4 linked regions of the Pelodiscus sinensis genome follow. The main gene of each other region encodes a partner of the protein of the gene in region 3 in a complex. Links are inferred from orthologs where the notes say so. Each region holds a gene or a part of one and is shown on either strand. Other genes may lie near its edges.

What was found.
Region 1: E3 SUMO-protein ligase RanBP2 (region 3) and NUP214 share a complex: the UniProt entries of both Homo sapiens proteins name them as parts of the nuclear pore complex. The link is inferred for Pelodiscus sinensis from reciprocal best matches to the Homo sapiens genes RANBP2 and NUP214.
Region 2: E3 SUMO-protein ligase RanBP2 (region 3) and NUP153 share a complex: the UniProt entries of both Homo sapiens proteins name them as parts of the nuclear pore complex. The link is inferred for Pelodiscus sinensis from reciprocal best matches to the Homo sapiens genes RANBP2 and NUP153.
Region 4: E3 SUMO-protein ligase RanBP2 (region 3) and NUP205 share a complex: the UniProt entries of both Homo sapiens proteins name them as parts of the nuclear pore complex. The link is inferred for Pelodiscus sinensis from reciprocal best matches to the Homo sapiens genes RANBP2 and NUP205.

The regions. Positions count from the first base shown.
Region 1 is NC_134732.1:14,188,270-14,196,691, forward strand, and holds the start of NUP214 (nuclear pore complex protein Nup214), read left to right. Parts: upstream 1-4,806; 5' UTR 4,807-4,920; coding exon 4,921-4,962; intron 4,963-8,120; coding exon 8,121-8,316; intron 8,317-8,422. UniProt on the Homo sapiens protein: Part of the nuclear pore complex. Has a critical role in nucleocytoplasmic transport.
Region 2 is NC_134712.1:108,543,657-108,551,791, reverse strand, and holds the start of NUP153 (nuclear pore complex protein Nup153), read left to right. Parts: upstream 1-4,811; 5' UTR 4,812-4,926; coding exon 4,927-5,046; intron 5,047-5,174; exon of another isoform or gene 5,175-5,400; coding exon of another isoform or gene 5,401-5,499; intron 5,500-8,135. UniProt on the Homo sapiens protein: Component of the nuclear pore complex (NPC), a complex required for the trafficking across the nuclear envelope. Functions as a scaffolding element in the nuclear phase of the NPC essential for normal nucleocytoplasmic transport of proteins and mRNAs.
Region 3 is NC_134711.1:235,356,066-235,364,189, reverse strand, and holds the start of E3 SUMO-protein ligase RanBP2, read right to left. Parts: upstream 3,547-8,124; 5' UTR 3,480-3,546; coding exon 3,408-3,479; intron 1-3,407. UniProt on the Homo sapiens protein: E3 SUMO-protein ligase which facilitates SUMO1 and SUMO2 conjugation by UBE2I. Involved in transport factor (Ran-GTP, karyopherin)-mediated protein import via the F-G repeat-containing domain which acts as a docking site for substrates.
Region 4 is NC_134711.1:85,276,513-85,284,141, reverse strand, and holds the start of NUP205 (nuclear pore complex protein Nup205), read left to right. Parts: upstream 1-4,282; 5' UTR 4,283-4,416; coding exon 4,417-4,444; intron 4,445-7,629. UniProt on the Homo sapiens protein: Plays a role in the nuclear pore complex (NPC) assembly and/or maintenance. May anchor NUP62 and other nucleoporins, but not NUP153 and TPR, to the NPC.

The sequences.
Region 1 (8,422 bases), on a different chromosome or scaffold from region 3:
CAAGAATTGCCCTCACGATCACAATCGCAGGCCTCCAACCGGAAGATGATAAAGAACTTCCACCTGTGACTGGTGCAAGACAGACAGCAAAGTCCCCTGGAGGGTCCCTCTTGGATCAATAAGTCCTTGCCACTGTGGTCTCCTTTTTAGAAGCTAGAGAAACTATTCTGTTCTGTCATCTGTGGTAGAAGCTGTCAATTCATTGTCTGCTTATATTTATATAGTTAAAATGAAAACTACATAATATATTGGGTTTGTTTTCCTTGTAATGTGAATAAGTGGTTGGCTTCTGAAGCTTGCAGACTCCCTCTTCTCCAGTGACCAATCTGGTCAATTTCCCTAGACTAAATCCTGTTTTAACGGCCAGTTCCAAAAGCTGTTATCTTGCACCTGAAATTCTGGGGATGGTGGGAGAATGAGCCCAGCTATTTTGCTTTCAATTTTCACAGAAAAGGCCTGGGATATGCTGAATCTGTAGGTGTAGGAAACGGAACTCCAGTCTGAGTCCTTAAGCTGGACCAGAATGAATTCTGGATGAGTCTGTTTGTATTAATGCCCTCAAAATCTCCCAAATTAGGCCTTGTTCAACAAACATATTTCTTATATGCTTGAATTTACTCATATGAGGAGTCATTTGACTTCAGTGGGACTATTCCGTGACAAAATGGAACACATGAAAGGGTTGGGGGGTTTTTTTTGCCTTTTTTTTTTTAATGGGAACCAGGGATCTTGTCTCTCCCTTTTGGGGGTAGGGAAAGACTCCCCAGGATCCCAGGACTGAGACTTAGCTGGACTGTGCTTTGGACACTGCTGTGTACTCTGTATTTACAACTCTTGGAACCCAGTTGTTTGCCTCTGGGATTTAATTGCTTATCATGTTTCTTCCCTCTCCCTCTGGGTTTTTTGTTTGTCCTTGGCAGCTTTTAACTTTGTGGTTTTTAAATCATGGTTTAAATTAAAAAAAAAAACAGATACCCAATTTATTGTTTGAACTCTAACTAGTCTTATTGTGCCTGCCAAAGGCTGCCCTTTTTAAGTGTCTTGCTGTTCTTGTTTGTATGAGAATTTAGAATTGTAATGGAGAGAGAGATTGTGGATGAGAGCAGCACAGCTCTATTTGTACAGACTGAAAATAAATCTTCTGACATTTATGTGAGGCATCAGTGTATTTAATACTGCTACTCAATATCCCTGTCTAAACTCAAGTTGTTCCATGTGATCTAAAACCTTAGGCCTAGTCTATACTACAGCAGGAGGTTGAATTAAGATACGCAACTCCAGCTATGTTAATTATGTAGCTGGAGTTGACATATTTTAAAGTGCGTTTCTGCATCCACACAGGTGGAGCTCCTGTCAGCTTCCCTTACTCCTTGCAGTTGCAAGGAGTACAGGTGCTGGCTGGAGCTGTCCTCAATTTATGGATCTATACTAGACCTGCTAAATTGAACACCAGAAAATCAACCTCTGGAGCATCGATCCACCAGTAAGTATAGATGTGGCCTTAGTTTTCAAATCATTTTAGTTAAAGGGGTGCAAATCCCTGAATAGGCACTTAAATTACATCAGGATAAGATAGCTGTAAACCATTTCAGCCAAAGGCTTCAATGTTTGAATCAAACAGGGCAAAGGAAGGGGTTTTTAAAATCAAGCATTCACTGGTTCCTGGCTGCTCGCTTACTTCAGGGTCACTGTTTGACATGCACATGTGTCTGGCAGAAGCAGCAAGACTCTTCTTCTTCATCTTCACTTTAACAATGGATTGGCCAAACCATCAGTGAGTTTCCAAAAAGAATTATACAAGTGGGACTGCGCTTCATCATTCCAGTGGATGACAGGTAGATTTCCTGTCACTCAAATCAAGTGGTAAACCCCTTTTGCCCCAGCATAGTCAGAAATGTGGATGAGGCCTTGCTAGCAGCCTCCCTAAAGAATGTATACACCTCACTGGGGCCAGTGCAAGGTCAGAATGTATCGTTCACTGTGTGACACATCCTTGCATACTTCAGATAATATAAATTGCATTAAACTAGCCTGTGGGAACTGAGAGATTGTGCTGGGGTGGGGGCAGTGCAGCACACACAGCCTCCCCCCCGCCTGCTCCCCATAAAGTGCAGAGATCCACATGGAACAGCTAGCCACTCTCGATGGTCCGGGGCTGCTGGCAGGCTGGGGAGCCTGCCTGAGAGTGCTGCTGGCCAGGAGCTGGTTAGGTAAGCGCCTCCCACCCAGAGCCTGTCTGTGGTACCCCCCCTTTCTCGCACCCCAACTCCCTCCCAGAGCCTGCACCCCCTCTCACACTATTCCTCCAGGTCAGAATCCTTTCCTGCACTTATACCCCAAGTCACAACCTTCTCCTTCACCCAAACTCCCTCTGAGACCCAGCACTAAAATGATTAGGGGGCTGGAGCATATGATCTATGAGGAGAACCTGAGGGAGTTGGGTCTGTTTAGTCTGCAGAAGAGAAGAGTGAGGGGGGATTTGACAGCAGCCTTCAACTTCCTGAATGGAGGTTCCAAAGAGGATGGAGAGAGGCTGTTCTCAGTAGTGACAGATGGCAGAACAAGGAACAATGGTCTCAAATTACAAGTGGGGGGAGATCTAGGTTGGATATTAGGAAAAACTATTTCACTAGGAGAGTGGTGAAGCACTGGAATGGGTTACCTAGGGAAGTAGTGGAGTCTCCATCCCTAGAGGTGTTTAAGTCTCGGCTTGACAAAGCCCTGGCTCAGTTGATCTAGTTGGGATTGGTCCTGCCTAGAGCAGGGGGCTGGACTTGATGACCTCCTGAGGTCTCTTTCAGCTCTATGGTTCTATGATTCTATGACCCTCTTCTGTACCCCAGTCTCTTACACTGAGTTCCCTTCTGCACCCAACCTCTGTCCAAGACCCCACATCTCCACAGAAAAATGAAGCACTTGACCACTTACCAATATCTTGGATTGCGCCCCCCCCCCGCATAAAAAATAATTGCCTACTCGTGCTCTAGAATATCCATTTGAGTGATATTACAAATACAAGTATTTTTATCTTTTCCAGGGATCTAATGGCAGGTGCTCTCTCTGGGTATGTCTACACTACCCTGCTAGTTCGAATTAGCGGGGTAATGTAGGCATACCGCAATTGCAAATGAAGCCCGGGATTTGAATTTCCTGGGCTTCATTTGCATAAGCGGGGCGCCGCCATTTTTAAATCCCCGCTCATTCGAACCCCGTGCCGCGCGGCTACACGCGGCACGAACTAGGTAGTTCGAACTAGGCTTCCTAGTTTGAACTACCGTTACTCCTCGTGGCACGGGGTTCGAACGAGCGGGCATTTAAAAATGGCAGCGCCCCGCTTATGCAAATGAAGCCCGGGAAATTCAAATCCCGGGCTTCATTTGCAATTGCGGTATGCCTACATTACCCTGCTAGTTCGAACTAGCGGGGTAGTGTAGACATACCCTCATAGACTAGCTGTCTCATGGGATTGCTTGAGTAATGCTGCTGTTTGCCCTTCATTTGTTGGTGTGTGCATGCCTGTCCAGTCTGACATACACAATGGCAGTGGCTATTTAGCTTTGTTTAAAGGGTCTAATAATCCCACTATAGAGTAATAGTAATTGCTAATGCCATCAAAGGGTATTAGTTACATGCTGCAGTGGAGGAAATGAAATTAAGCAGTTCAATTGTAAACATGAAGCCACATTAACTGGCTTCTCTATAACCAGAAACTGATATTTTAAAATGAGATTTATAGTACTTTCATGTTTCACTTGGAGACCATTCATACAAGGAATGTGGAATTCCTTTCTTTGAAATGCAGAAAGTGGATCTAGCCCCACAATGCAGAGCCCTACACTGTCATGGTAATTATGTTAGGATAGACTACTCTGGCAGCAGCATTGACTGCTGTTTATGTATGCTGTGTGCATACTGATCATTGCATATGGTAAACCAAGACTTCAAACTCATGAGTGTCTTAAAAATCATGAAATTCTTAAAACATAAATCTGTGGGGTTTCTGCCCTTCCAATTTCTGAGCCTTTAGGCTACACTTAGGTCAGATACACCTCACTTCCATCCCCAAAACGAGGAGGGTTGGACATTTGCTTGTTATTCTTTAAAAGAACCTGAAAGTCTCATGTAATAATGACTCCAGGAGCTGGGGCTTTAACTGAAACACCAAGTAATGTGAGAGTTGGCAGCACTGGAATAACTAGCTTGCCCCAAGGTTGATGTTGGTGATTTACTGCCGTGTAGCAAATATAACACGACCAATTGGGTAACAGGAACAGTAGCCTTCCAGACTGGCTGGATCCCTGGTAGGATGACTAGAGGGGACTCCTGCTATTAGGAGCATTGTCATCTATAGGCAACTGTATCCTGCCTCTGAAAATACATGGTAAAACAAAACAAAAAAAGTCATGTAGCACTTTAAAGACTAACAAAATAGTTTATTAGGTGATGAGCTTTCGTGGGGTGGACCCACTTCAGATCCTATTCTGAAAGTGAACAGGCATGACCATTTTATAACAGAGGGAAAGAAGGTAAAAAAAAATTACAAACTGACAATTCAGCTACATCCATGTCCTAGTGCTGACTGTGATCCAAGTTTGAATTGCTTATTGATGTTGCTCCTAGAAGCCCCAATGATGGGGCAGCCCCCCCCCCCCCCCCGTCTATTAGGTGCTATACAAACTAGTCACTGCCCTGAAGAGCTACCACGCCCCATCCTCCTTTGGCCACGCCCCCTCGTCAAAGCTCCCGCCCCCTGGCATTAGGCCCCGCCCTACAGTCTTACCGTAGTGTCTTCCTCGGTCCTCCACGAGCCAGCGGCGCTGCCATAGAGCGCTGCGGCTAGAGTAGACTTGATGGCCGCCGGAAGCGGAAACGCTCCTCAGAGCCCTGCGCAGGCGGTTGGCGACGGGCTGAGCCGGAGCTATGGGGGACGATATGGATGTGGTCCCCGAGCGGGAGATGAAGGTATGGGCGGGGGGGTTGAGGGGACACGGGGGGAGTACCCTGCCTTGGGGGCACTAGGCGTTGTATGAGGGAGTTTCGGGGGTCAGCGAGCTGGGTGGGGGGGGCGGTGTCCCGGGGGACGGGGCTGTGGGCCGGGAGCTGGGATAGCGGGATTGAGGGGGGAGGGGCTGTGGGCCGGGGGGGCGGGGCTGGGATAGCGGGATTGAGGGGGAGGGGGCTGTGGGCCGGGAGCTGGGATAGCGGGATTGAGGGGGAAGGGGCCGGGGGGATGGAGCTGGGATAGCGGGATTGGGGGGGAAGGGGCTGTGGGCCGGGGGTCGGGGGAACTGAGCTGGGATAACGGGATTGGGGGGGAAGGGGCTGTGGGCCGGGAGCTGGGATAGCGGGATTGGGGGGGAAGGGGCTGTGGGCCGGGGGGACAGAGCTGGGATAGAAGGTCTGGTCATCCTAGTGAGTGCTCATATCACTACAAAAAATCAGGCTGTTAGGTGTGGAATGTTAGGTGCCACAGTTACTGGGGCCCTACCAAATTCATGGCCATGAAAAACATGTCAGACCTTGAAATCTGGTGTGTTGTGTGTTTTTAGAATGTACTACACAGATTTCACAGGGGAGACCAGCATTTTTCAAAAGGGGGTCTCGACACAAAAGGGAGTCTGAATTGGGGAGTGAGACTGTAATCACAAAAGGAATTTTAAGTTTTCTGCATAGTAAAGATGTTACCATTAAATTCTTATTGCAAGCAGTCAGCGTTTATATGTAACTTAAAGCTTTTGTGATTTATAATCACACTTTTTTTCCCTTATGTTTCTGGTGATGCAAAACTCTATGCAAACAACAAGGGGGTGTGATCACATGCAAACTATTGTCAAATACACAAAGTAAACGTTCGAGAAGGGGGAAGAAGGAGGGGAATCTTTTTGTACTGCAGTGGTCACCAAACAAGTAGATCTTGGAGCCTTTGACAGGTGATCCTGACTGGTTTGGCCAGGAAGCTATCACGCTCTGGCACTTCAATTGCCCCTCCACCCACTATCATGCTGCTCATGCCCTCTGCCTTGTAGCTGCCCCCTGGGAGTCGCCTGCTTGCTGTGCAGGATGTGGGAGGGAGGGGGGGGGGATGCTGATGTCAGGGTGTTCCTTCTCCCACCCACTTCTGTATCCTATCTCTACACAGAGAAGAGATGGAGTGAGCTTGTCAATGCAAATCTCTCACTCTCTCACACTGGTAGAAATGTAGCCGTGTTAGTCTGGTGTAGCTGAAACAAAATACAGGTCTATGTAGCACTTTAAAGACTAACAAGATGGTTTATTAGATGATGAGCTTTCATGGGCCAGACCCACTTCCTCAGATCAAATAATGGAAGAAAATAGTCACAACCATATATACCAAAGGATACAATTTAAAAAAAAAGGATACAATTTAAAAAAAACACTGTGTGTGTCTGTCACTCACAAACACAAACTGTCCTTCACTCTCTCCCCACTCAACACATATGTGGGTTGTTTTTACTTCTTTTACTGCATGCAAAGTATGTTGTTTTTGGTTTTTGACAGGTTTGTGTATTTCATACTTTTCATTTCTTTCTTATGCTTAAATTTAATTATTTGAGTAGTGAGTTCTAAAATGCCTAACCTGTCATGGCTGGAGTAATTATCCCTATGGTAACTGCTGCTCCTGGGAGTGACTGGCATGTCCCTGCAGTGCATGAGAAAGGTAGAGCAGGGGATCTTCACGTTCTGTCCTTGCCTGCAGACACCAATCCTGCAGCTCCCATTGATCAGTACAGACAGTCCCTGGGTTACGTACAAGATAGGGACTGTAGGTTTGTTCTTAAGTTGAATTTGTATGTAAGTCGGAACTGGTACATATCGTAGGGGAAACTCTAGCCAAACATTTCTCCAGAACTCAGTTTTATTCTCCCACACCTCACTTCCCTCAGTCCTTTATTCTCAAGCTGAGGTGTCTGCTGAGAAAAGCCGCTCCGCGTCTCCATGGTCTGCTGGGGGGGCGCTAGCTTCGCGTCTCCCTGGTCTGCTGGGGGGAAGCAGCTAGGGCGGGGTTGCCTCACCCCGTTTGTAAGTAGGGATCCGATGTAAGTCAGATCCATGTAACCCGGGGACTGCCTGTAATGGGGAACTGGGGCCAGTAGAAGCTATGGGCTCAGTGCCTATAGATGAAGGACAGCACATGGAGCCATTGCTGTACATGCCAGCTGCTTTCAGGAGCGGTGTAGGTCCAGGACAGGAGCAGGTAGGAAGTTTTAAGTATATTACTGTAATAGCAGGTAAAATATATTCAGATACATATACCACTTTTAAGTTAACATTGTCCCTTATGCGATCACTGTAATGACTGTACTAGTCATTATGCACAGTCTTTTTTTCTTTTTTTTTTAAGTGGAAAATGTTTTGCTACTTTCTAGGGAAGTCTACATGTTCTCCAAATGCTGTCTATTAATGATAAGTATATTATGGATTATCAGACTTTTGAAAAAAAAATACCTGTCAGGAATTAAAACGGTGACTTCCTAGTTTATTTTTGGAAACAGTGAAAAGAACAGTGTCCATTTTAGGCCACCTGATAGAGAAATACTTTTAAAAAGATGCTTGAAAATAACTTGGTGCTCTGGCTATAAAGTAGATAAAGAAGAAATAAATGTCTTAGTCTTTCTTCAGTTAGACGTCCCAGAGAGAGATTTCAAAAAGCACCTGTTTCAGATTGTGGTGATAGTGTTTCATGAGATTAATAACAGTCTTTCCTATTCTTCATTATTTACTTCACCAATATTAAAGTGCTAAGTGAGGTCCATGGCCCACCTATTAATAGATAATTTATGAAAATATCCTTATCTCTCTCCTACATATTTAAAAAATCTGGAACTGATTATAACAAATTATTTTTCGTTGAGGCAATTTTAAAGTAATTATTTTTGTTGATGTGGTCTGCAAACTCTTCAAAATCATTTTCAGGAGCTTGTGGTTTGTCAGCCACTTGGGAAGTAACAATTGAGAGATTGTGTGTATGTGGTAGTGGGCAAGTGCTTTTTAATGAATTCAGTTTCTCTGGGATGTAAGCGAAAATCAGTTTTAACTCCCTTCGCCACTCCACATATAGACACCTACAATTGCTTTTTAACTCTGTTGTTTTATGACAGGATTTTCAATTCAGAGCGTTGAAGAAGATCCGAATATTTGATGCTCCTGAAGAACTCCCTAAAGAGCGTTCCAGTCTACTTGCCATCTCAAACAAATATGGGCTAGTCTTTGCTGGTGGAGCAACTGGCCTGCAGATCTTTCACACTAAAAATCTTCTCATGCAGAATCAAGCAGGAGACGATCGCAATAAAATTGGTATGCTAATATTTTGTATTACTCTACAAAGGAGGGAGCTGCATTTGGAATGTCTGTGACATAGCTGATTAGTCTACTCATGCCACATTCCATTTGGTTCAGGCCT
Region 2 (8,135 bases), on a different chromosome or scaffold from region 3:
ATTTTTACACTAAAAATTGAAAACATTTGTTCGAAGTGGGACAGCTAGTTGTTTCAAAAGCAACAAACACCACAAATGTGCTTTTTAACAATTTTGTTTAAATTGTTGTCTTGATTATTTTCAGTTTTATGCAAAATTGTTTTCCCTGTTAAATTAACTTCACACTCACATTTTTAAGTGTAGTTTTATTATAACCGTTGAGTTTCAAAAGTTAAACATTTTGTTGTGCAGATTGCTAGAAATTTCTATCATTAAAATTGTTTACATCAAAACAAAGGAAACATGCACATTGTTTTATTTACTGTGAAATTTCTATGTATGTATAAACAAATTTCCTCAAGATGTGTAAATAGTGGAATGCAGTGCCTATTGCAGCTGCACAGGAGGGCTTCAGGGAAAAAAGTTTGGGATTCCCTAAGGTAGTCAACCTGACCTATGGTTTGAAGAATATTTTGCCCTTCTGAGGCATGAGTAAGCCAGCTGGAAGACTTAGATTTACTACAATACTCCGGCCTTTGATACCTAGGATACCTCCACATTTCATCACAGCCAGAGAAGGGAACATCTTGGCCCCACAGGGACCACTGGTTCTATTATTCCCACTCCCTCATTGCAGGCCCTGCTAGAACTGGGGAAGAAGTCAGTCCTGCTTCTTCCCTGGATTAGGAGGCCTTGATTCTGGGGGCGGGGGGGAAGGGGGCTTAGTTGATTTGCTGTTTACTTGGGCCTTATCTTTACTTACCAAGAGGTTGACTGCAGATATTGATCGCCTGGGAGTCAATTTAGGGCAGGGGTGGGGAACCTTGGGTCCTTCTGATGATCCATTTCATTAGGGTTAATTGCTGGCAGCCTGCAAGGTGGTTAGTTTACTGAGTGTCTGCAGGCATAGAGCCCTGCAGCAATCAGTTGATGTGATTCAATGTTCCTGGCCAATGGGAGGTGTGGGAAGTGGTGGCCTGGCTTGCAGGTGTAGTAAGGACATGCTAAATCGACCACTGATCATGCTCCTGTTGACTCCAATACTCCACTGGGTCATGAGAAGTAAGGGAAGTTGAGAGAGTTTTTCCTGTTGACTCTCCTCAGTGGGGATGCTGTGGTAAGTCAAATTAAAGTACGTTGACTCCAGCAATGCTGTTCACAGAGATGGAATTGCATACTTTAGTTTGACTTTGCCCACTAGTGTAGACCTGGCCTTAGGCTCTACAGGTTTTGCCCTGGGGCAGTGGCTACTGCTGCTCTTCCTTTTCAATTTGGTGAGTTACTAACTGGCTGGAAAACTGGCTGGAAAACTGTCCTGCACTACTTGTGTTGGAAAGAGGAGCTGGGGTTGCTGTGGGGGAGTTCCCAGATGGCAGGAGGATGAGACTAGGGCTATTTTGGATTGGGACTTCTGAAGAATGTGCCTCTTTCCCCTCCCTCCATCTTGCCCCCCATGTTTAGCACTTAGCATCAGGGCAGGGAAGTGCCACTTCAAGGGCCTATGTATCTATTGTCCAGGAGCCCCTTGAAGCTACTTAGGGTCTCCTGCCCTGGAGCTGAGTGCACTGTGGGAAAGGAGAACATTGGGACTAGGTAGTGGACAGAACCAGGTGGAGGGAGAAGAAAGGCAGTGAATAGTTTCTTTGAAGGTGTGGCTTCTGCCCATGGCACCATGAGCTTCATGAAAGTACTGTCCATTGGGCCATTTGCCCCTTTCTCCCATTGTTTTGCAGAAGGCTCCTGTGATATGAAGGAGTGGCCCTAATCACCCTTTGTTTTCTTCTGATCCTTCCAGTAAGAGCAGTGCTAGGCATGCTAAGCACTGTATAAACACATTTGTCAGACAATCTTTGCCCCCCAAAATTATTTAATTTTATGATTATTAACTTATACTAGCAGTCGCTAAGGTCTTGGGTCAGCAAAAGTGCTATAACATAGTGGGCTACGTCTAGACTGGCATGATTTTCTGCAAATGCTTTTAACGGAAAAGTTTTCCATTAAAAGCATTTGCGGAAAAGAGCGTCTAGATTGGCATGGACCCTTTTCCGCAAAAGCACTTTTTGCGGAAAAGCGTTCATGCCACTCTAGATGCGTTTTTGCGCAAAAAAGCCCCAATCGCTATTTTCACGATGGGGGTTTTTTGTGCAAAACAAATTTGAGCTGTCTACATTGGCCCTTTTGCGCAAAAGGACTTTTGCCCGAACAGGAGCAGCATAGTATTTCCGCAAGAAGCACTGATTTCTTACATGAGATGGTCAGTGTTCTTGCGGAAATTCAAGTGGCCAGTGTAGACAGCTGGCAAGCCAATGTTGTTTCTCCAACAATCTATGCAGCTATCCCTCAAAAATACTGAGTCTTCATAGTGGATGCAAGATTTTGTCTCCTGCAGATTGCTGCTCCCTACTGTTGAGTTTTCATTCCTGGGTTGAAACAGTCCCAGTTCTCTTGTAGGTTTGTAAGCAACTATGCAAAGAATTTAACTAGTAGCTTCTGTCACTTTCCCTTTAGGTTCTTGGATTTGGCTTTACCCTGTAGCCTGCATGCTGAGACTGGCCTGATCATGGTCAAACTGTAATTTACTCATACAAAAAAGCAAAATGCTTTTGCAACCTCCCTCCCCAAGATGGAGGAAGGAAAAACAGGATCTCTGGATCTAGATGTGGAGCACATACACCTGTCAGTGTGTCCCACCATCCTAGCTGGGGAAAGCACAGATGATCAGTTTCTCCTTGGAGACTAGTGTAGAAATGTTAGTAAGTTTTTCTCCTTGTTCAGAAGTCTGTTTGTGCAAATAGTAAATGAGCCCCTATAAGTGTTTGTGTGTGAGTGGATTTTGGAAGTGTAAAGACTTGGGGGTAGGGTGGAGCTGGGTGGATGGGGGTTGAAGACAGAGATTGTGAATAATTTAGAAAGAAGAAAGGGCAATTGGGAAAGAGGAACTGATGCAGGGTAGGAGAAGGGAGAGGACACTGCTCTGCAAAAGGGATGGGGAGGTGCATAAGTCTCTGAATGTTGATATCCAAGTTAGAAAATGTTGATGTAGAGAGTTTTTATTTCAACTTGATTTTATACCTGTGCACAACATACTTAAGCTGTGATGAGAACTCCTGTAGGGTTTCCACTCTTTCTGTGGAACCTGCTAACAGACAAGGAACAACTCTTTTCCACTGTCCCACACAGCTCTCTCTTGCTTGGCTTCTTGTCCCATTATCTTCACATCATTCCCAGCTTGTTCTAGCCTAACCTTTATTATAGGCAATGCCAGTAAATTATTTTAGTAACATTCTTTCTGTCTGGATTTTTCCATGTCTTCCACACCTGATTTAATTTTTTTTCCTATTGCTCTCTTGATTTTCTTTCAGCAGTTTGGAAGGGCTGCTTTTTATTGACTCCTGCCGTGTGTCCATTGTTTCTCTGATGTCTGAAGGCTGTGACCATGAAGGACTTTGCCCATTTTGTTTTAATAGGGCATCTCATGGTCTTTCAGCCTCATCTAAACAGTGTTCTGAGCCAAAGCTGAGGATAGCCTAGTTGGAATTCTGGCTCTCTTGTACCTCCTGAGATGAGCCTTAGGGATAATTTGGGGCTTAGTTTTGGGATCCAACTACATTATTCACCACTTCAATTATCTTTGTCAATGTTGTAGAGAATCCCTCCCAAAGTTAATTCAGTTTTAGGGCTCCTACCAAGACTGTGGAATCTATTAGGTCCTCCCAAAAATGTTTTCCCATATGAACTGTTTGTTAAAGTTTTTTAATTTTCAAATGCTTTCAGATTTTCCCAAGGAAATGTGGGCATTTTCAGTTTGGGGCTGTGGAATATCTCTATAGTTCAAGTGATACAAATTTCTTTGTTCCTTCCCAGAAACTCTGCAGAAGATGTTTCCCGGGGTCTTCAGTTTATCATAATATGAAGTGAATTGGGATATATTTTGTACTTTCATTGACTGCTATTTTATAGGCTGTCAAAAGAATATATGCTTGGTTATGGCCAATTTGATACTTTTCTAAAAAGATAGTTTGCTTAATCCTTTTTGGCCTATTCCACCTTCTCCCATAAGATGTGAGTCTTATGAATCCCAGAATTTCATAAAACTGTTGTAATACTTTTGATTCTAAATTTCCCCCTTCATCTGTTTGCTGATTACCTGGAACTACAAATCTGGTGAAGAATTTGGTCACTAAAACCTCCATAGCTAGCCCAGCCTTTTTGTTTGTTACTTATTTAGATTCAGGCTACTGTGTAAAGTATAGCAATCCATCTCCCATATTGGAGAGAGAAACAAATGAAATTAATGACTGTCAGAAATGATTGATTCTTTCACAAGTCAATGAAGGCAATTTGTAGGGCAATATCTTCTCTATAAAGCTAGCTGGAATGATATTTTTATATTTTACACCCTATTTCACATATTTGTAAGTATAATGGACCAGAGCAATCGTGGATATAAATCAGAATCACTTCATTGGCTTGTTTTAAGCACCTCTTTGACACTTTTTGGTTTGTTTTTATTACAATTTATATAACTTGCGTGACTACATTTTTACTACACCTTACAGGTCTGGCTTCACCTAGAAATAGTGCTGACTCTTGTGTGTCACTTGTAAAGGACTTATTTCCGTTAGTACATCATGTGCCTTTCCGTGGTCCTTGCTCTGCCCGGCACCACCCATAACTCCGCCCCTCCCTTTGCACTGTGGCGGGTTTTATAACACCAACCAGAATCTAGCCCCCAAATAATTGGTTTATGAGCCAAGGCTGTTAGGGTCTAGTAGCAGACGTGACTCCTTTCCCACGTGTTCGGAAGCCTACCACAGAGAGGTCGGGCGCTCAATAAATCATGACCAAGCCTTGAAAATCGCAAGATCTAAAGGACGATACGGGGGGGCTGTCCTGCTTATTTGCCTTCAGGATTTTCTCTGCAACCTGTGAGGGGGTTTTTGCTCAATGCCCGCTGCGATCAGCTTCAGGAAAACCACGCAGAGCCTGAGCCGGGCTCGGTCTCCAACTACCTCCTCCTCCCTGCCCCGCGCCAGCCTCTGCGCTCCCCGAAACTACACTTCCCATGTGCGTTCGAGGCAGGGAACGCTCCTGGGGAAAGTCGCGTCAGGATGACGCATCCCGAAGTGCGCGAGTTAGTGACGCGACGCGCCCGGGCGGGCGCTGTGTGGTTGGTCGGACGGGGAGGGGGGAGGGGTGCACGGACTCGGCCGCGGCGCGGGCGGGACGGAGCCGGCAGCAGCGAGCGCGTGAGGCCCCGGAGCCCGCGAGACAGGCCTCGCGGCGCGCGGCGGGGGCATCGCCATAGAGACAGTGACAGCACAGAGAGGAAGAGGGCGCGGGCGGCGCGGCCGGGCCGCGGGGGGAAAGAGGAGCGAGCGGGGGCCGGGCCCGCTCTGCGCCGGGGGGCCGGATCCCAGCATGGCCTCGGGCGGGGGCGGCGGCGGCGGCGGCGGGGGGAAGATCCGGACCCGGCGGTACCACCTGGGCGCCTCGAAGCCCTACCCGAGAAACAAGCAGGTGAGAGGATGGGCCGGGCCGCGCCGCTCTGCCAGGCCCAGGCGGGGGCTTTGACTCACAGCGGCCCGCGGGGTCTGGGAGCCGCCGGGCGGGGTGAAGCATCCCCGGGCTCTGCAGGCCCCACGTGGTGTGGGGCTGGGAGTGGGCAGCGGTGGGGCGAGTGGAGGATCGGGCCGGCGCGGGGCGCTGCGTGGCGGGAGGGCGCTGGGGGCGTGTGAGGAGCCGCGGCTCGGGGTGGAGGGACGAGTGAGGCTGGGGGGGGGGGGGTTCCTGCGAGGCGGGATGTGCGTGTGTGTGGGAGGGGGCTTTTCCCCGGGGCTGGGGGTGTGTGTCCATGTGCGGGGGTTTCCTCTCGGGCAGCGGGGAGGAGTTTGAGGGATTTCCCTTGGGAGCGCGCGCGGGGTGTGTGCGTGTGTGGATGTTTTAGGGATTTCCTGCCTTTTTTTTTGGTGAAGCTGGGAGGGGTCACGGGAGGGAAGAGGAAACGTGTTTAGCAGTTGGTGCCATGTGTGAATTCACCCCGTCTCAATTTGCCTCAGACAGTTTTGTCGGTGTGGGTGGGGGGGAAATAAAAGCACTGGAAGGAAAAATCTGGAGTTCGTTTCCTGTCACACAGACGAGCGGGTGTAGGCTGCAGACTTTCCCAAGATGTAAACTTTTTGATGCCCACCCTGTTATACTTCTTAGCCTTTGGGGTGATATAGCTACGCTCTTTTTCTATACTACCCAATTTACTACAACTTACTGGTTGCTTTCTGGCTCAGATTGCCAAAAGGTATTTATACATCAGCAGGAATAATTTGGGTTTACTGTGGGATAAACTTTATACACAATCAGGGCAAACTACTAGATGACATTAGCTTAAATAGGTATTTAGTTATAATGCAGTGAATTTTGATATTTGAATGTCTTCAAAATCAAACTAGCCAATTCTTTCATCTACAAATTTCAAAATATCTTACAAGCCACTTTGTAGGGGCAGTATGTGGTTATTTGTCCTTCTTACAAGCCACTTTGTAGGGGTAGTGTGTGGTTATTTGTCCTTGTGATCATTTCAGTAGGCTACAAGTTCATAAGCTTCAACCCCTCACTATAAATTTTTCTAGTACTGCCATTCCATATATCTCTGTTGTTAGCACATTGTGGGTGGTAATAATATTAAAAACTATTTTAATTGGTTTTCCAAGTCTTGCTGAAATGGTGGCTAAAGAACACAACTTGTTTATATATTACAGCACTTTGTATTAGTGGGAATTTTTCGGCAAACAAAAATCCAGAAACTAGGTGGGATTGGTTGAGGACAGGCAAAATAGGTCTTTCATTATTATTGTGTTTGCTCCTAGGTGTTTTAAGGTACTTGTATATTTATCTATTGTACAGATCTTATCTGTGTAGGTATATATGTATTTATACATGAATGCAAAAACTAGGTTAATACATTATTTAACAAGTAATCTGAAAAGCTAGGAAGTTCAGTTATGTTCTGTTTTCATATACAGTGAAGAGCTATATTACATAAATTTCATAAGCTGCTATTTCTTAAAATAATAGAAAGGAATTATTATTTTAAAAAAATTAAGTATACATGTACAATTGCATAACACTGTTATGCACCTGTCCCTGAAGCTCTAGGACAGGGGTTCTCAATCTTTTCGTTTCTGAGGCCTCCCCCCAAATATGCTGTATAAACTCTACAGCCTACCTATGTCACAACAATTGTGTGGGTTCTATTTCATATAAAAGCTAGGGCTGTTATTTGGGGGGTAGCAACCAGGGCAGTTGCCCAGAGCCTCATGTGATGGGGCCTGCGAAGCTAAGCTGTTCAAGTTTCATGTTAATGTTTGGGTGGTGGGGCTTGGGTGGTTGGGTTTTAGCTTTTTGTCCCTGGACCCAGTGAGTTTAATGATTGCCCTGCTTGGCGGAGCCCTTCAAACCTGCTTCTGTCCCTTCAAGGAGCTTTGGACCTCTGGTTGAGGACTACTGCTTTAGTAATTTAATGACATCTAAACAGGAAAATGAATTTCTTCATGTCTAAGTATAGTATTGAATAGGGATGTTCAATGGTTAAGTGATAAGAATGAGGCTTAATGGTATGCTTATTAGTTAACCAGCCTTTGCCAATTAATTTCAGCGATAGCCGCGTCAGACTGGAACATCCTTGGCCCTGGAGGGGGCTAGTAGGCAAGGTGGTGGGATTCCACCGTCATAGTGGGACCTCACAGTGGGGTCAGGAGTTGGGACTGAGGATAAAACCATTAACTGGTTAAGTGTTATCTTGTAATCTGTTAACTGTTTTAACTTCCTTAGTATTGAAGCATTTATGTAAAAGCTAGCAAGTACTGAAATAGCAAGTGATGTATATGCTAATCACAGCTAATTGTCTAATTTCCTCGGTGCTTGATTTCACACCTATTTTTGTCCTCACAGTTGGTGACAAGTAGGGATATAATGTTAAAAGGAGGATAACTGGGTTATTGCTAAAAACCTCAGTGGTTAAACGCACCCACAGTGGCAGTCAGCTCCCCAGGAGCCAGTGTACTCCAGTAGCTGGCTTTTAAACTGGTTTCTGGCTGCTGTCCTGCCGCTTCTGGTGCTCACTGGCTCCTGTCTGCTACCCTGTACTGCTGCCTTTGATA
Region 3 (8,124 bases):
TCACTTTAATTAAGAGGAAGACCAACACTGATGGGATAATGAAAAAAATCCACCAGCAGGCGGAGTAAGAGTGAATATCGCTTTAAAAAAGGAATCATGGTAAATAAAATAAAAAAGATAAAATGAAAGTTTCAGAGAAAAATGTAAAACCAGAAGAGGTGAAAGATGCAGAGAAGAGAGGAAGAAATAAATAAAGAACACTGGTGAAAGTCTAAAAAAGTGGATAAAGACTAGGGATATTAAATTGCGAGTAACTGACTAATCGAATAGTTGATGCATTTTGCATCAACTAGTCAACAGGGCATCTCCGCCTTTGAAGTGTAACAGCCCTAGGCATCATGCTCCTCCCAGCATTTCAAAGCAGCAGCGCCCCTTGGAGCCCGGGGTCAGCTGGGGACTACCCTGCTAACCTTGGGCTCCACGCGGCGCTGCCATTTTGAAACACCGTGGTGAGCGCAGTGTCAGGCTTCATACAGCGTTTTAAAGTGGCAGTGCCACCTGAAGCCCCAGGGTCAGCAGGGGAGTCCCCAGCTGATCCCAGGCTACACAGAGTACTGCTGCTTTGAAATGCAGTGTGCAGCCTGGGGAAACCCCAGCTATCACTTTGAAGTACCCCCTTTTTATTCCTCCCCCTTGCTGCCTTTTTCTGATAGAGGCAGTGGGGGGAGAGGGATTAATCAACTAGCCTGTTGATTACCCGATAAGTATTTGCTTGTCCACTAGTTCTTCACATCCCCAGCAAAGACTGATAAAATAAACCAAATGTTTATTGACACAGCTAAGTTTCAATTTGTATATTTTGCTATGAACTTAATTTTACTTGGCTCTAGCAAAAACAAAGTAACCATACAACCCTTTTTATCTTTAAGACACCATAGGAGAATGGTTCAGAACATAACAGCCAAAAATCAAATGGTGGGCCACAGTCACAGTGGAAAAAAAAAAAAAAAAATCTACAAAAGATGTCAATCTTTGTTTAAAAGGATATTTAATCCAAAATCTTAACCCTTTTTGCAATTTGGGACTTCAGTTTGTCCTTGGATTAACTGTGTCTTTGTTTGACGAAGCTCCTTGGAGCATAGACCAAACAACGTATGTGCTCAAATGATAAAGTATCTACATGGTGAGGAAACTATAGTAACTGCTCTATCAAGGAAGTCAGACATAGAAATAGATGTTTTAGATATTATGAAGATTTGGACTTTTACATGCAAATTTGGTCCAGCCATCAGCTTACTGACAAGCCTCTAGCAAGGGCACCAACTGTAAAGGGCCAAGTACTTTTCCTTCCAAGAACATATTTAACTATGCTAACAAAACCAATCAAAGATCCTATCATATTTCTAGTAGAAGTCCAAGTAACTGAAATACTGACATGAGCTCTGGAATATTTACATTTTAACACCGCCTCTTCATAAAACAATTGTATTATGTATCACTTCCTATGTTCACAACTAGAAAATACCCGTGTCAGCTACAGCAATTGCCCATGAGAGTGCACGACAACAGACAACTAAAAATATGTTGAGTCTCTTCAATGCAATTTAAGAACTGGTAACAAGAAAAAAAAAAAAAAAAAAAAGGTACATTATCAGCCAGAACTCTGCTAGCCACCAACGAACAACCTGAGGAAAGCTGGAGAACCACTGAATTAACAAGTCATCACCCATCATCATGGTTTGGCTTCGCGAACGAAGATCTAGGAAGGAAATCCATGTAACTCCTCAGCTTTCTCAAATCATCCAGAAAAGAGGAAGTTTAGCCTCCCAGTGTTACAGCACAAAGATATTTTTGAACAAAAGCATGCATTTTTTATCCTTTAATAAGACATATTTAGTTTTTAATCTTTCATAAATATTATATTATTGAACAAATGTGTCTGGAAATTTGTAAAGGTCTGGTGAGTCACATTTCTTTACAATTTCAAAAGGAGAGTTAATTGTTGTCCCTTCTTAATTTTACAATACAGGACAAAAAGAATTTTATGTAACTATTTTCCATTACTTATTTTGTGAACTTGACTGTACAGTTAGATGCATTACCCATGTAAAAATCAGCATCCCCTGTTTGTGTGGGTCTTCCACACAGTGAACAGGATAAAACATTTTAAAAAGTTTTGTTCATGGTAACAAAAAAAACCTCATAGGTGTAACTGTTAAATTTGGTAGATTTGTTGATTGGACAGCTGACAATCTAGAGAGTGTCTTCTGAGATTTGCAGAGAAATAGTTGGTAACATAAAACTAGTAATAATTTTCATTGCTGAACTGCATTCCAGGATACCTTCTTAGCTAACTCCATGTAAACAGTTGTGGTACTTGCCATGCATACCCATCAACAAGCAAGGAAGTAACTCAGCCACTTTTTATGAAAACATGATTGAAGTTTCATGAAAAAAAGAATGAGTCCACAAATTACTATCCCATAAATTAGTAACTCTGAAAACTAGATATCATGCTCTTTTTAAAAAAAGCAATACCAATGTTTATCACACACATCAATTATGCACCATTTCTTTGTTGACTTAAATCCTTTGCTTAGCAGAAGTATCAGGCCAAACTTTCCTGCACTATCCCACTGCTGTTCCTCAACTCATCATGACCATGGGGGAAGGTGTAAAGGAGGGATGGCTTGCCTGGACTTGGCCCCCAGGATCAGGACTCCCCCCCCCCCAGCATTAGGGAGCCCAGACGGACACTCCAGCCACCCCCCAACCTTCCTGCTGGCCCACAGCACATAAAACCTACTAGCCTGGGCTCCACTAGCTACGGTGTGGGAGGGGAATGCAGGGAGTGTCTTTCTCCTTCTCAACTGGGGGGAGGAGGTAGGGTTTCACATCAGTGATGATTGGGGTTTTTTCCCTTCACTTGCGCATGGCCCCTGACTGATTTTCCTGTGGGTCAGCAGCCCCGGACCCAAAAAAGGTTCCCCACCTCTGAAGGCTGAAAGAAACGCCCCCAGCCAACGACAGCTCAAGTTCCTTCCCGTTAGTACAAGACTCAGGAACCCCGGCTGCTACAAGCGCCTCCCAGCCTTGGCTCCAGCCCCGCCCCCAGGCAAACCTCCGGCGCAGGACAGCTCTGGCCGCGGATCCCTCCGCCCCCCGGCCAGGTCAGGGCCCGCCCGGGTTAGCAGCCGGCCCCGCCCACGCGGAACGAGGCCAGCCCGGCTGCCGGGGCAGGGACGTTGAACGCCTGCGGGCCCGTGACTCGCCTCCCCGGAGCGGGCGGGAAGCTGCTCTGCGGGGCCCCGCGGGGAAGGGGCCAGGACACGCGGCCGCTCCGGCCGAGACCAGCCCCCGCTCGCCAACGGGCACCAGCACGCGCCCCCCGCGCTCTGGGCGAACAAACCGCCGCGCCCGCGGCCCCGCAGGCGGGCGGAGACTGGGGAGCGGGCGGCCCCACTCACCTCTCTGGGGGAGGGGGCGGCGGCCTGCACGGAGGCGATGTACCGCTCCACCTCGGCCTTGCTGCGCCTCATGGCCGCGGCGCGCGCCGACTAAGCGAAACCGAAACGCCGCCTCGAGCCCCGCCACCCCGGCTCGCGCCGCGCCGGGCAGACGGGAGACTGAGCTTGGCTGGTGGGGGGGGGTGGGGAGGAAAGTCTAGGTACGTTCGCGCGCCTCCTCAAGGTGCGTAACGCGGCGGTGCGTGTGCGTCGTCCTCCCTTGCGGAAGCGGAAATGACGTATGTCGGCTGAGCTGCCCTCCCCAACTCGGCAGTCTGATTCAGTCCCTTTTTCCGCCTGGGGTCGGGGCTTCCCGGCGCGTTCCTTGCTCCGTCGCAGCCCCTGGGCCGCGAGCCAATCACAACTAGCGGAGGGCGGGCCGGCTGCGCGCGCACGGAAGGACAACCTGGCACCTCAGGTTGCGGGGCAGGTCCGCGCGGGGCGCCCGTGGCCGCTGAGGGCAGGACGCGGGGCGGGAACGGGGCTCGCTGCCGCAAGGCGGGTGCGGGCGGGGAAACGTTGAGCATTGAGGACAGTCGGACTGTGCAGGGGGGGCGTGGCGGCTCCATGGGAGGTTTGTAAAACCAGGTGGACAGACGCCCGGGCAGGGAGGCTGTAGGGCGGGGGTCGTGCACATAACACCCCTCTTCCCCGCCCAGCGCTGCGCCTTTCTGTCACCGCCCTACCTTCGCCCCCATTACACTCAATACATGAACTCAGAGGTGAGGGCTCCCAAACACTGCTGCCAGCCTCTCCTCTACCCTCCCTCCTGGCCAGACACCCTGCCCCAAGTCCCCTCCTGCATCCTCCCTTCTGGCCGGAGACCCTACCCCCAGCCTGTCTGTGCACCCTACTTCCCACCCTCTCCCCCTTCTGCACCCTAAGAGTACAGGGTAGCGCTCATGAACTTTGTGTCTCAAAAGCATGTTTGTGCAGATCAGCTTTCCTAATCATTTTTTATTTCTGTGATGGCATGTGTTGTATTACACTGATCATCTTCAGTTAATACTCTTCTGATATTAGAATTTATATCTAGTAGGATTAAGCCTCAGAACAAGCCTACTGATGGACTACCTGGAACCATTATTATGTGTTTATCATGAATTGAAGCTACTTCAGAAACTGTGTCACAATGTTTCATTCTGTATAGCACCCTGATCAGCAAAACTGTGCTTTTAATTCTTCCTCAACTACCGAGTATGTCCAGGGTAGGAATGTAAAATCCTGCTTAATCAGTTTAACCAGTTAAATGTTAACAGGATCCTGAGGGCAGGAGTAAATAAAACAAGATGGAACTTAAAGGAAAGGGGCATTCTTCAGCAGCCAGTGACTGACAGGTCTGGTGCTGTCACTAAGCAACCCACATGCAACCCATTGTAATTGATCGGTAGATCTTAGCAGGTTAAAAACTGACTAGAACTAAATTGCAAGTAAGAGTAAGTTATGTACATATAACAGTTACACAGCACTGCTGCCACACAAGTGTCCTTAGACTTTTTTCCTGATAGAACTCATTAAGTGTATGGCTTTATCATATTTTTCAATGTTCATTGCTTTGCATTTGTCCTCAGTGAAATTCACATGGGATCGTGCTAGCAATTCACTAGCTTTATTTGGGCTCTCTGAAGTTCCTTGGTCTCTTCTAGTGTTTGTTATAACAAGTAAGGAAGATAAACTTATTCTGCATAATTGTAATGTATTAAACACGACCTATGTACTAATGTGAAAATGTGTGATGAGTGGTTGTCTGTGTTGTATGGGGGTAGAGGGAGTGTGACAGAGGTAAATTTCAAAACTGGGTTATTTTAAATGTTTTTGTCTAGGAAAAGTTAGCAGGTATTTTATTCTGAACATTTCCTTTACAATTCAGTTATCCACTGAATTGTATCGACACATTTAAAGCCTAAATTAAAGTAGGATCTGTGTTGAGCGAAAAGTACAGTAAGGGAAATACACCCTAAACTATGGAGTCACTTCTGACAGTTCCATAATACAACAGAAACTGGACTGTATTCTGTGTAAAGAGAACAAATACAGGGTCCCTCACCACCAAACATCCCTTTAAGAACAAGTCAAACAGGTTATAATTGTGTAGTCTTTATTGATCACAGTGGGAAAGCTTAGCTTTTAAACCAAGAGATATATTTTCTTAAAAGATATGAAATGAAACTGTAGTTTGTAAAGCATAACCTATACAATCTATGTAGGCTGCTATATTAAATGAAAAAAAATGTTTTATTAATTTGCCATACTACTGCACCTTTATAAAGAAAGGGGGAAAAGCCCTAGATTCTTTATGACTATTAATGAATAATATAAGACTTAGAAGCATGTTATAGTGAATTCTCATCAATTTGGACCCAGTCCTTCAAGGCTGACATTTTAGGTGCTCAATTGTAGGTGCTCAGCACCTTCTAGCATAGACCATTTATACACACACTCACTGATGTATGACGTGAGAGTGAATTATTGTAGGTACTATTAAAAAATTAATTCAGCCAAGAAACAACAATGTATTTTTTAAAATTCAAGTGTTCTCAATATTTAAAGAAAACAAACGTCATACATCCTATAGAAGTGAAGTAGTTAAAGCATATTATGTTTTATAATACCTGGTATACATTTTCTGCATAAGAATATAAAATAAAAATAAAACTGTATATATATTTAATGCATCCTTTTTTGAATACTGTTGTGAAAGGTACAGAAAAATAAGGCACAAAATGTAAGTAAAATACAAATACACTCATATTACTGGATTATTTTAAATGGAACATAACAAAATTCCGGTAGTTCTGAATATGGATATTTCTTGCAACAGGAATATATTTTCTATATTTCCATTACAACTTTAAAATCTAATATACAAAAATTAATTATGTAATATTTATCTATTAAAGGCACTACACTTTTGCAGTGGTTGCACTTAGAAGTTTGACTTCAGAGGCATTTAAAATAAGGCTTCATAATGATTACTTGGATCTGAATCTAAAAATGAATAGTTCCATAAAAAGTGATGCTACATCATTTAAAGATTACATGCTGAATTCTATGCACAAGTATTACCCTTAACTTCAATGGCACTCTTTGTGTACAGAAAGCAAGGTTTATTTGTGAAGTCATTGCAGGAAATGCACAAGCAGATCTTAGGTCTCCACAGAATCTCACTGAAATATGTGGCTATAAAGCAGATTCAACTGCAGGACCAGAGCCGTAAAAGAGTTTACAATGAATTTGTATTTGCAGTTTAATATGCAAGTACAATATACAGATCAACAGATATGTATAAATGTATATATCCAATACAGAACTGAAGATATATTTTGCTTTTGTTAGTTACAAGTTATATAAAATGTAGAGAGGGTTTTTAGATGCATGTTTTGAGAGAGAAAAGAGGAAAGTACTTTAGTATGAAGCTAGTCATGCATCAAGGAAACTAATTTTCTTTGCTTGTGTATCGCAGATTGCAGCCTCAAAGAAAAATAAAATGAAAGTCAAGTAATATCTGTAATATTTTCTAATTTTTTTCCAGGAACAGGAGATTAGAAGGAGGCTTTACTTCCTCCCTAAAGTTTCAGCTAGTTTCTTCAATCTTTTCTTCAACTCCAGAGGAAACTTCTCATAGCATTTCTTGCAGACAGGCTTCATATCAAATTCAACAAATTTGTTCCTAAAAATGATAAAGGAAATATATTTAGTGGAAGAGATTTCAAAGAGTATGTGTAGCATACCATATTGACGTGGTATAAGCAGCAAAATGATGCTTTTTCAGTATGTTTGCTGAATATTAAAAAAAGCTCTAAGCTGATAAATGATATAGCAAATCAATAAATGTAGATGTATCCCTGAATCTATTTTTTAATGATACATACAACTATATTTGTTAGCAGTATCCAACTTTGTAATTGGGTGCCATCATGCAGGAAGTAAAACAAATTCAGAAGACTTCTGATTTTTTTTAAAACCGTGACAAGTTAACAGTACAGATGAATTTGCTTAAGCTGAGATTTGGGTTTTGAAAAACAGAGGACCAGTCACTGCACATAAAGTTAATATTTATGTGAAAGAGACATGAAAGTAAAAGGCTGAAGTGAAGGAAACAACCGTACAGGAAAACAAAAAGAGAACTTCTGACTACTGAGGAAAATTTTGTTTTATGCAATACTGTATATTGTGCAACCACTGAATTGTAAACCTAACATGAAAGATACAGACTACATTTTCAGATGTTTATGGAGACCCAGTGTTATGGACCTAGAAATAGATGTCCAATGTGGGTATAAGCAAGGGCAGCTGTGCAAAAGATGCTATGAATTTCCATACTACGTTCAAGCAGTGGATATATAGTTAAGTATCCTGTCTAACAGCTGCAAGTATGTGCTGTTTCTGTGGCAAGAGGAAGAATCCCTATAGAAGGCAATATGGATAAGTCTGCTTACAAGACAGGAAATGCCACTATATCAGCAAAACAATAAAATAGGAACTTCGGTCAAATGCACAGTAAACTGGAAAAACAAAAAAAAAAGTATTTCTTTCAAATGCAGTAATCTCAAGTTACTTAAAACTACATACTATATTTTCATATAGAAATTTAATTTTCAAGTTGACTGATATTTTAACAAGTCTTTCCAATATTTAAACAGTAAAACTCTTTGTTAATCAATTCATATTGGGCATG
Region 4 (7,629 bases), about 150 Mb from region 3:
CATTCATAGAATGGCCATCAAAGCACGTGTGCTTTTTCCCATCTGGAGCGTCTACACTTGCCTTCTTGTGTAATAGCTGTAGCGCTAAAAGCAGTTATGCCTCAGAAAAGGAGGTTTACCTACGGCAGAAAAAGCCCTCTGTTCTGCCGTTTAACTGCCTATTTAATTGTGAAGAGCTCATTTGAGGTTTGGATGCTCCTCAGGTTTTTGCGCAAAAACAGCTGTTTTTGTGCAAAAAACCTTGTAGTGTAGATGTAGCTTATCAGTATAGTTAAATAAGTACAACTTTCCTAGTGTAGACTGTGCCAGGATAGATGAAGTGGTACAATTTCCCTAATTTGAAGACTACAGAGATTATGCCAATATGCCTTATTTCCATACGTTAAAGGGAATAAGCTATACTGCTGTTAGGCATCACTGTACCAATTATATATTTAGCATGTGCATACTGGGCTACACATTAGTGTTGTCGGTGCCTACTGTGCTGGGATTCATTGAGCTGATGCTCCTGAAATTCAACTTGCTAGTTGCTTCATTAGTTTTCCTGACTACTGTAAGGTTCTGGCAGGTGTCGCAAGAAGAACACTTGAGTTGTACTGATATAACTATTTGGGGTAAAAATCACACCCACACACCAAGTTGAACTAGTATAGACAAGGCCAAACTATATGCTGTTCCCACTAGATTCATTCATCTAAAGAGCCCCTCTCGGACCCATTTTTCATTGCATCATGTTGTTGTTATCTAAGCTATTGACAGAGCAAGTTGTTGAATTATTTGGAAGTTTTAAATGGTAGATGTGTGGGAGTTACAGAGGATCTTCTCTTCCAATGGGATTTTTTAAAAATGCATACAATCTGGAAACATTTTAATGTCAAAAGAAACATGACAACCCTCCCTTCTGCCAAAATAAATCTTTCTCATTTTTGCTTTCTCCTTTATCTTTTTACTTTCAATGTCCACCCCTTCCCTCACACACTTTTTCCTACCTGAAATAAGACAGTTTGAATCTCCTGTCACTTCTGTCATTTCCTGACCTTTGAGTGGGCTAGATTCATAACTGACAAATGGCCAGGACCAGAATGAGAAAGAGTTTAGTGGTATAAAATGTCTTTCACTTAAATAAGCAAATTAGTTTCATGTGAGCAATAGCCAAAAGAAAATATATCCTTTTCTCAAATATCTACCCTTCAAACTCTGTGAGAAGAAATCTTTCTGGCAGGATGGGTTTTCTCTTTCTTTCTTCCTTTCTTTTCCTTTGTTTCCATCTCTCCCTTTTTTGGTTGTATTAATCTCCAATGTAATTCCCTTTCTTCTGGCTTTTGTCTTTTTTCCTCCTTTGTCTCTCATTAATTCATCCTTCCTCTCAAGTGTCTCTGCTTTCTCTGAATTGCCTTTTTTCTTTCCCCACCTATCCAATTGTTTTTGTCCGCTCTACTTCTTCAGTATTTGCTGTCTGTTCTATATGGATATAGTTTGAAGGACATGATTTTGCAGGAAGAGTAACTTAATTTTAATAAAGTTCAAGTGTGAAAATGTTAAGTACTGGCCACTGACATGAATGTGTCTCTCGAAGGCATCTCTTATCTCTATGGGAATATACTGAAGAAAAGTTGCCATCAGTATAGTGACTGGGACAGGAAAGCCTTCCAAGAGATATTATTTTGAAACAGAAGGGCAGTAAATAGACCAAAGGGTGTGTCTGAAACTCTGGTGCGCTGGCCAGATACAATTCACCAGGGTTAGTCCCTGGCAAGCACCAGATGCTTCATTTGGCTGCTGTTTGTGGGAGGTGGTGCAGGCCAGGCCACCACTTTTTGTAGCTGTCATTTGTTGGAGACAGTAAACCGTGGCCAACAGGAGCTGTGAGTGGTCATCCCTGTGAATGCTCAGGTAAACAAAGTATCTGGCAGACCGCTAGGGGCTAGCCCAGATGAACTGCGTCTGGTCTGTGGGCTCCAGATTTCCCACCCCTGAAGTAGACAGTCTTCAGATGTATCACACTTGTTAAATATTAGTACACCTTCCTTAGTTCCAGATATATGTCTAACTGTTTTCTGTGCCTTTTCTTTATTTCTGACAGTTCTTTCCTCAACTTTCTTTTGATAATCTATTTTGCCACAATTTAGAAGTTCTTGGCTCCATGTTGAAGTGCACCGGCGGAGTGTCCACACAACCTTTTTGCACAAAAAGGTTTATTCCTCGTGGGGAGAGGAATAATTCTTGAGCAAAAAACCCTCTCTTATGACGATCTACTGTAAACTTTCTTGTGCAAGAACAGGCTTGTAGTGTGGAGGCTCCGCAAATTTTTCCACAAGAATGGGTGTTCTTGTGCAAGAAGCCTGCACTGTAGACATAGCCTGAGATGGGTAGGTTCCCTGGTGTTCAGGATTAGATGCTTTATTCCATAATCAAAGACCACAAGAAATAGGATTTCAAATCCAATTAACTTGCTTGTAGAATTGGTAAAAAACTTTAGATGTTTTAAAATTAAAATTTGGGTTTGTTTTTTGGTAAATGATTTTTTTTCCAGAAGAAAGGTCCCTTTTCATCACATTTAAAAAAATATTTTCCATTAAAATTTTTCCTGATTTTTAATGAACAGTTGCAGAAATTGAAGATATTCAGTTTTTGAAAACCTAAAATGTGATAATTGATTTATAGTTTTTAGTTGAAAAACTAAGAAATTTTCTACTGTCTCTGCATTAATTTCACTATTAAGGAATCACACTTTCCTTATAGCACACATTTGAGGAATATTTTTTTCACAGTGATGGCTATAAAGAAAGGGATATAATGGAAGACACTTTGTTCATCAGAATCTGACAAAGGAAGGCAGGAAAAATGGAGAGGGATAAAACATATATATTATGTTAATTATGGGAGATAGGAGTTATGAAACAGAATCTGATTAGAGAGACAAGATAGGTGAGGTAATATCTTTTTTTGGACCTACTTCAGCCCTGAAGAAGAGCTCCACTAGGAAGCTTGTCTTTCTCACTAACAGAAATTGGTCCAAAAATAGGTATTAGCTCATTCACTTTGTATCTGTAATATCCTGGGAACTACACAGTTACAACAGTACTGCATGCATAGAATCTGATTGCCTCATAAAAAAGTCCATTTGTGGTCACATGTACATGTGCCTAGTTTTATTAGTGAGTAGGCCCACTGAAAAATATTTTAATAAAATTAAAACACAGCAATACAAAGACCATTAATACAAATATATATAATATGAAGGAACCAAGCACAGTAACATTTCCAAATGACTTTTACTATTAAACCTATAATTATTATAACTCACACTCATACCACAATATAAATTAAATTGCATGATGTCATTATTTGTTTTTATTACAATTGTGTCATTTTTGTAAACATGTTTTCTTTGGTTTCCAGTCGCTAAACTAGTAGTCTGGAGACTTGAGGTCAGTTTCTCTGTAGGATATTGATCTATAATATTGATTGATGCAACATTGTGTAAATCAGCCTGCCCTGTCTGTTTTCTCACTTGAAAAGTGTTTTGAGATAATTACATGAAATGTGCAATCTGTTATTTTTACACTGCACTCCAGGTGTTTATTAAAAACAATTTTCTGAAAAAGTTATAAAGGGTCCAAAATGGTTTAAAGTAGGAAAGGCTGGTCGCTGTGACTACTTAAATAGATTATATTAATATAATCTTTGGAAATCTAGTTTTTGAAACTAAGTATATATTTTGTAAACAGGATAGCAAAATAACATTATTTCCCATTCTAGGGTGGGTTGAGCAGATTTTGTCCCCTGGAGTGGTCCTGGTGCTTGTGAATTTTTTCTTGGTTGTGCAAACATGATAATGGGATGTGGTTTTGTGAGCAGAATAAAGCTTCTGCATATCCATCCATCTGGTTTCACTCTGGGTAAAGGGTATGGGAGCAGAGCTGGACTACCTGGGAACTTTAAAAGCTTCAGCGGTGGAAGCCAAGTTTATCTGTAACAGGAAAAACTAAAACCAAAAAACCAGCAAATAGACTAGTAGCACAGTAAAGACTAACCATCTACATATTTTGTTAGTTTTTAAGATGCTACTGTATCTGTTGTTTTTTTTCCTGGAAACTTTAGTTTAGTAGTTTGCGCCACTTCCCATAATCCATAAATGGACTACAATTCCCGGCATGCATTGCAGCCCACGAAGGCCCCCTCCCACAATTTTCCACAGGCAGCCCTGCCTGTTTCAAAGGGACCCAATACCAGGAGTGGGGTGTATAATTGATTAGTGTATTAGGGACCATCCCACTATGGATTTTAGGGGAAGCAGCGTGCCCTGTAGGCGGCGAGGAGAGCGGTATTTCTAGGCAGGCAGCGCTTCAAGCGCCTCCAACTCTTTCTGGGCTTCTCTGAGGCGGCGGCGGCGCCTGTTAGTTGCTTTCCAAGATGGCGGCGCTGTTGGCGGTAAATTCAGGTAAAAGGCTCCCGAGCGCGAGGCCGGTAACAGGGGGCGGCGCCGCGCCGGCTCGTGCGGCCCCTGTCCCCGCCCCGCCCCGCCCCGCCCGAGGGGAACGGCCGCGGGGGGAGAAGTGCAGCAGCAAGAGGAGGCGGCGGCGCGAGATCTGTGGCCCCCTCGGCTCCGGGCCCGCCCGTGTGTGCCTGGCTGGCAGAGACCGTGCGCCAGCCCCGCCCCGGGAAGCCTCCCACAAGAGCCGGGGTGCGGGGTCCTTTGCCTTTTAGTTTCTGAGCCCGGGGGGGGGGGGTCGAGGTCTAGGGCCGGGCCCCCACTGCTCTCTGCAGCCCCCGTGCCTGGCAACGCGTCTTCGGTCGAGCCAGGAACCCCCCCCCCCCCCCTCGGGTCTGGCATAATCGCAGGAGCAGGTGCTCCGAGGAGAAACACCCCAGGGGCCCCGCGTCGCCAGATCCCCTCCTGGCTGCTAGTGCTGCTGACAAGGGATGTGGAAGCGCAAACGTGTGTGCGATTAATGTGAATGGTTACACATAAGTGCCGCCCACGGCGCTGCTGCGTCTGTATCAAAGGGAGCAGTGCAGGGGGCGGGTGGGAGCCGATACGTGGGGAGCTACCTCCCCCCCCGCCCACGTGTAACTGCTGAAATTTTCATCAGTTTCACATTTACATGAATACACGCACCTTGTGTTCCCCATCTCTCATTTCTTGTCTCCCTCATGGATTGTCAAATGCTTGGTGCAGGGACTCTTGCAGAGTATCTGGTGCAATTGGGTCCTGGACAAAGACTAGATTTCCTAGTCACTACGGAAATATAAATGATAAAATTGTGAGACTTGGCAACCCAAGTAACGTGAGGGAGATAAAGTTTTAGGGGGCAGTTCTCACTGCCCTTTGGTGCCATTTGGGGTGTTCATGTCCTGCATGATGGGTGCAGGGACTTTCTCTTCAGCCCCTACATTATCAAAATCTGAACCCTAATCTTTTAGGAACAAAAGCTTCAGGCAGTAGCCGAGTTAGTCTGTACAGGATAAACTTAAAAAACAACAAATAGTCTGATAGCACTTTAAAAACTAACAAAACATGTAGGCTATGTCTACACTCACGGCTTTTTGTGTGGGAAATATGCAAATGAGGTTAAGCGTGGAATATTGCTGAGCCTCATTTGCATACCTAATAAGCTGCCATTTTAGCAGAAGATGCTCTTGCACCAGAAGGAGCTGACTACACTGCCCCTTCTTGCGCAAGAAAAACCCTCTTGTGCAATGCCGTTATTCCTGAAAAAAATCAGTTTAGCGGCGTTGCACAAACAGGTTTTTCTTGTGCAAGAAGGGGCAGTGTAGGCAGCTCCTTCTGGTGCAAGAGCCTCTTCTGCAAAAATGGCATCTCTTTAGGTATGCAAACGAGGCTCGGCGATATTCCACGCTTAGCCTTGTTTGCATATTTCTCATGCAAGAAGCCGTGAGTGTAGATAGCCGTAGACGGTATCATGAGCTTTTGTGGGCACAGCCCATTTCTTTAAGTTTATCCTTTTAGAAACAGTACTACTTTTAAATTGAAAATAGCTGAACTAGATTTAGCCCCTGTCCTACAAACATGTGATGCCACTAGTAATACTCTCTCACGTAAAATGAACCTTGTGCATGTTTTAAAGTTTGAGACTGTAGCATGTGGCTTATTCTTCATAAGGAAAAATCTTTGTTGTGGCTTGAAATAAACTACTAAAATGCATTGGAGAGTATGGGAGAGGATGATGGGATTGCAGCAGGGTCTAGAGGCACTCTTGGTAATGGAGTGCTGCATGCTTGTGAACATACACGCAAAACACTATCCTCAATCCAGCTAGGGGGAAGGAACAACATGCTGTGATTCCCACCAGGGTACTGTTTCTGGATCCTGCTAAGGAACTCCATGCTTAGCAAATAAATGGTGGAAATGCAGCCTACTATTTCTTGTCTCATCTTCTAGATGTTGTAGAGTGGAAAGCTGTTCACTCTCCAAAGGTTTTTTGTCCCCCCTCCCCCTTTTTTGAGCTTCCCTTTTTCCTTTCCCCAGTTTAATTTTTTATCTTCACAAATTTTAGTGGCTTCCTTCAGCTATCATGGCATGAAATAGATGCCTTGTCCACAATACTGGAGGACTGATGCTCCAGTGATCAATATTCTGTGGTTCGATTTAGCGGGTCTGTCAACCACAGTATTCCTTGCAGTGGTGAGGAGTAAGGGAAGTCGACGGGGGAGGTGCAGCAGGGGTAGGTCCCAGACCCAGCACAAGCTGGGGACTGAGCCAGGCTTGCTTAGTCCCAGCTCATGCTGGGTCTAGCAGCCCCTGTCCACAGGGGTCCCGGTGGGGAGCTGGGACCCCCCGCAAGCAGAGGCTGCTTTGTGGCAACCTCCCCTGCCCTCCCTCCACGCTGCTGCTTCTAATAACATATGCTTATTGAGTTGTTGAGTAGTGCCTCGACTAGTTGATTAGCTTATTAAACACAATTTAACATCCCTAATACAGAGGCAGCAAAGGGGGGCGGGGAAGCAAGCAGCCAAGTAGTTAACTCAAATACCCGATAAGCCTACACTTATCGGGTAGTCAACTACTTGCTTATATCCCTATTATCCGTGCCTTATCTCTTATCATGAGTTCACAATGAAAGAGTTAAACTTTTCTGCAATGAAGACACAGTTTTAGTTAAACCAGTGCAACTTATATACACATACATGTGCTCATAAATCAGTTTACATGATGCCTAGATTAATTTAGTTTAAGTTCAACAAGCGATTCACCCTAGCCAGCCAGCGAAAGTAGAGTGGAGAAATAGCAGAATAAAACTGACAATTCTGATGTTTCAATGTTTCTGAACAGTATTGGAAGCAGCAGCAAATTGAATAGAATCATATCTATTTCATGCCATGATAGCTGAAGGAAGCCACTAAAATTTGTGAAGATAAAAAATTAAACTGGGGAAAGGAAAAAGGGAAGCTCAAAAAAGAGTGGGGGGGGGGAGACAAAAAACCTTTGGAGAGTGAACAGCTTTCCACTCTACAACATCTAGAAGATGAGACAAGAAAAGAGCAGCAGCGTGGAGGGAGGGCAGGGGAGGTTGCCACAAAGCAGCCTCTGCTTGCAGGGGGTCCCAGCTCCCCACCGGGACCCCTGTGGACAGGGGCTGCTAGACCCAGCATGAGCTGGGACTA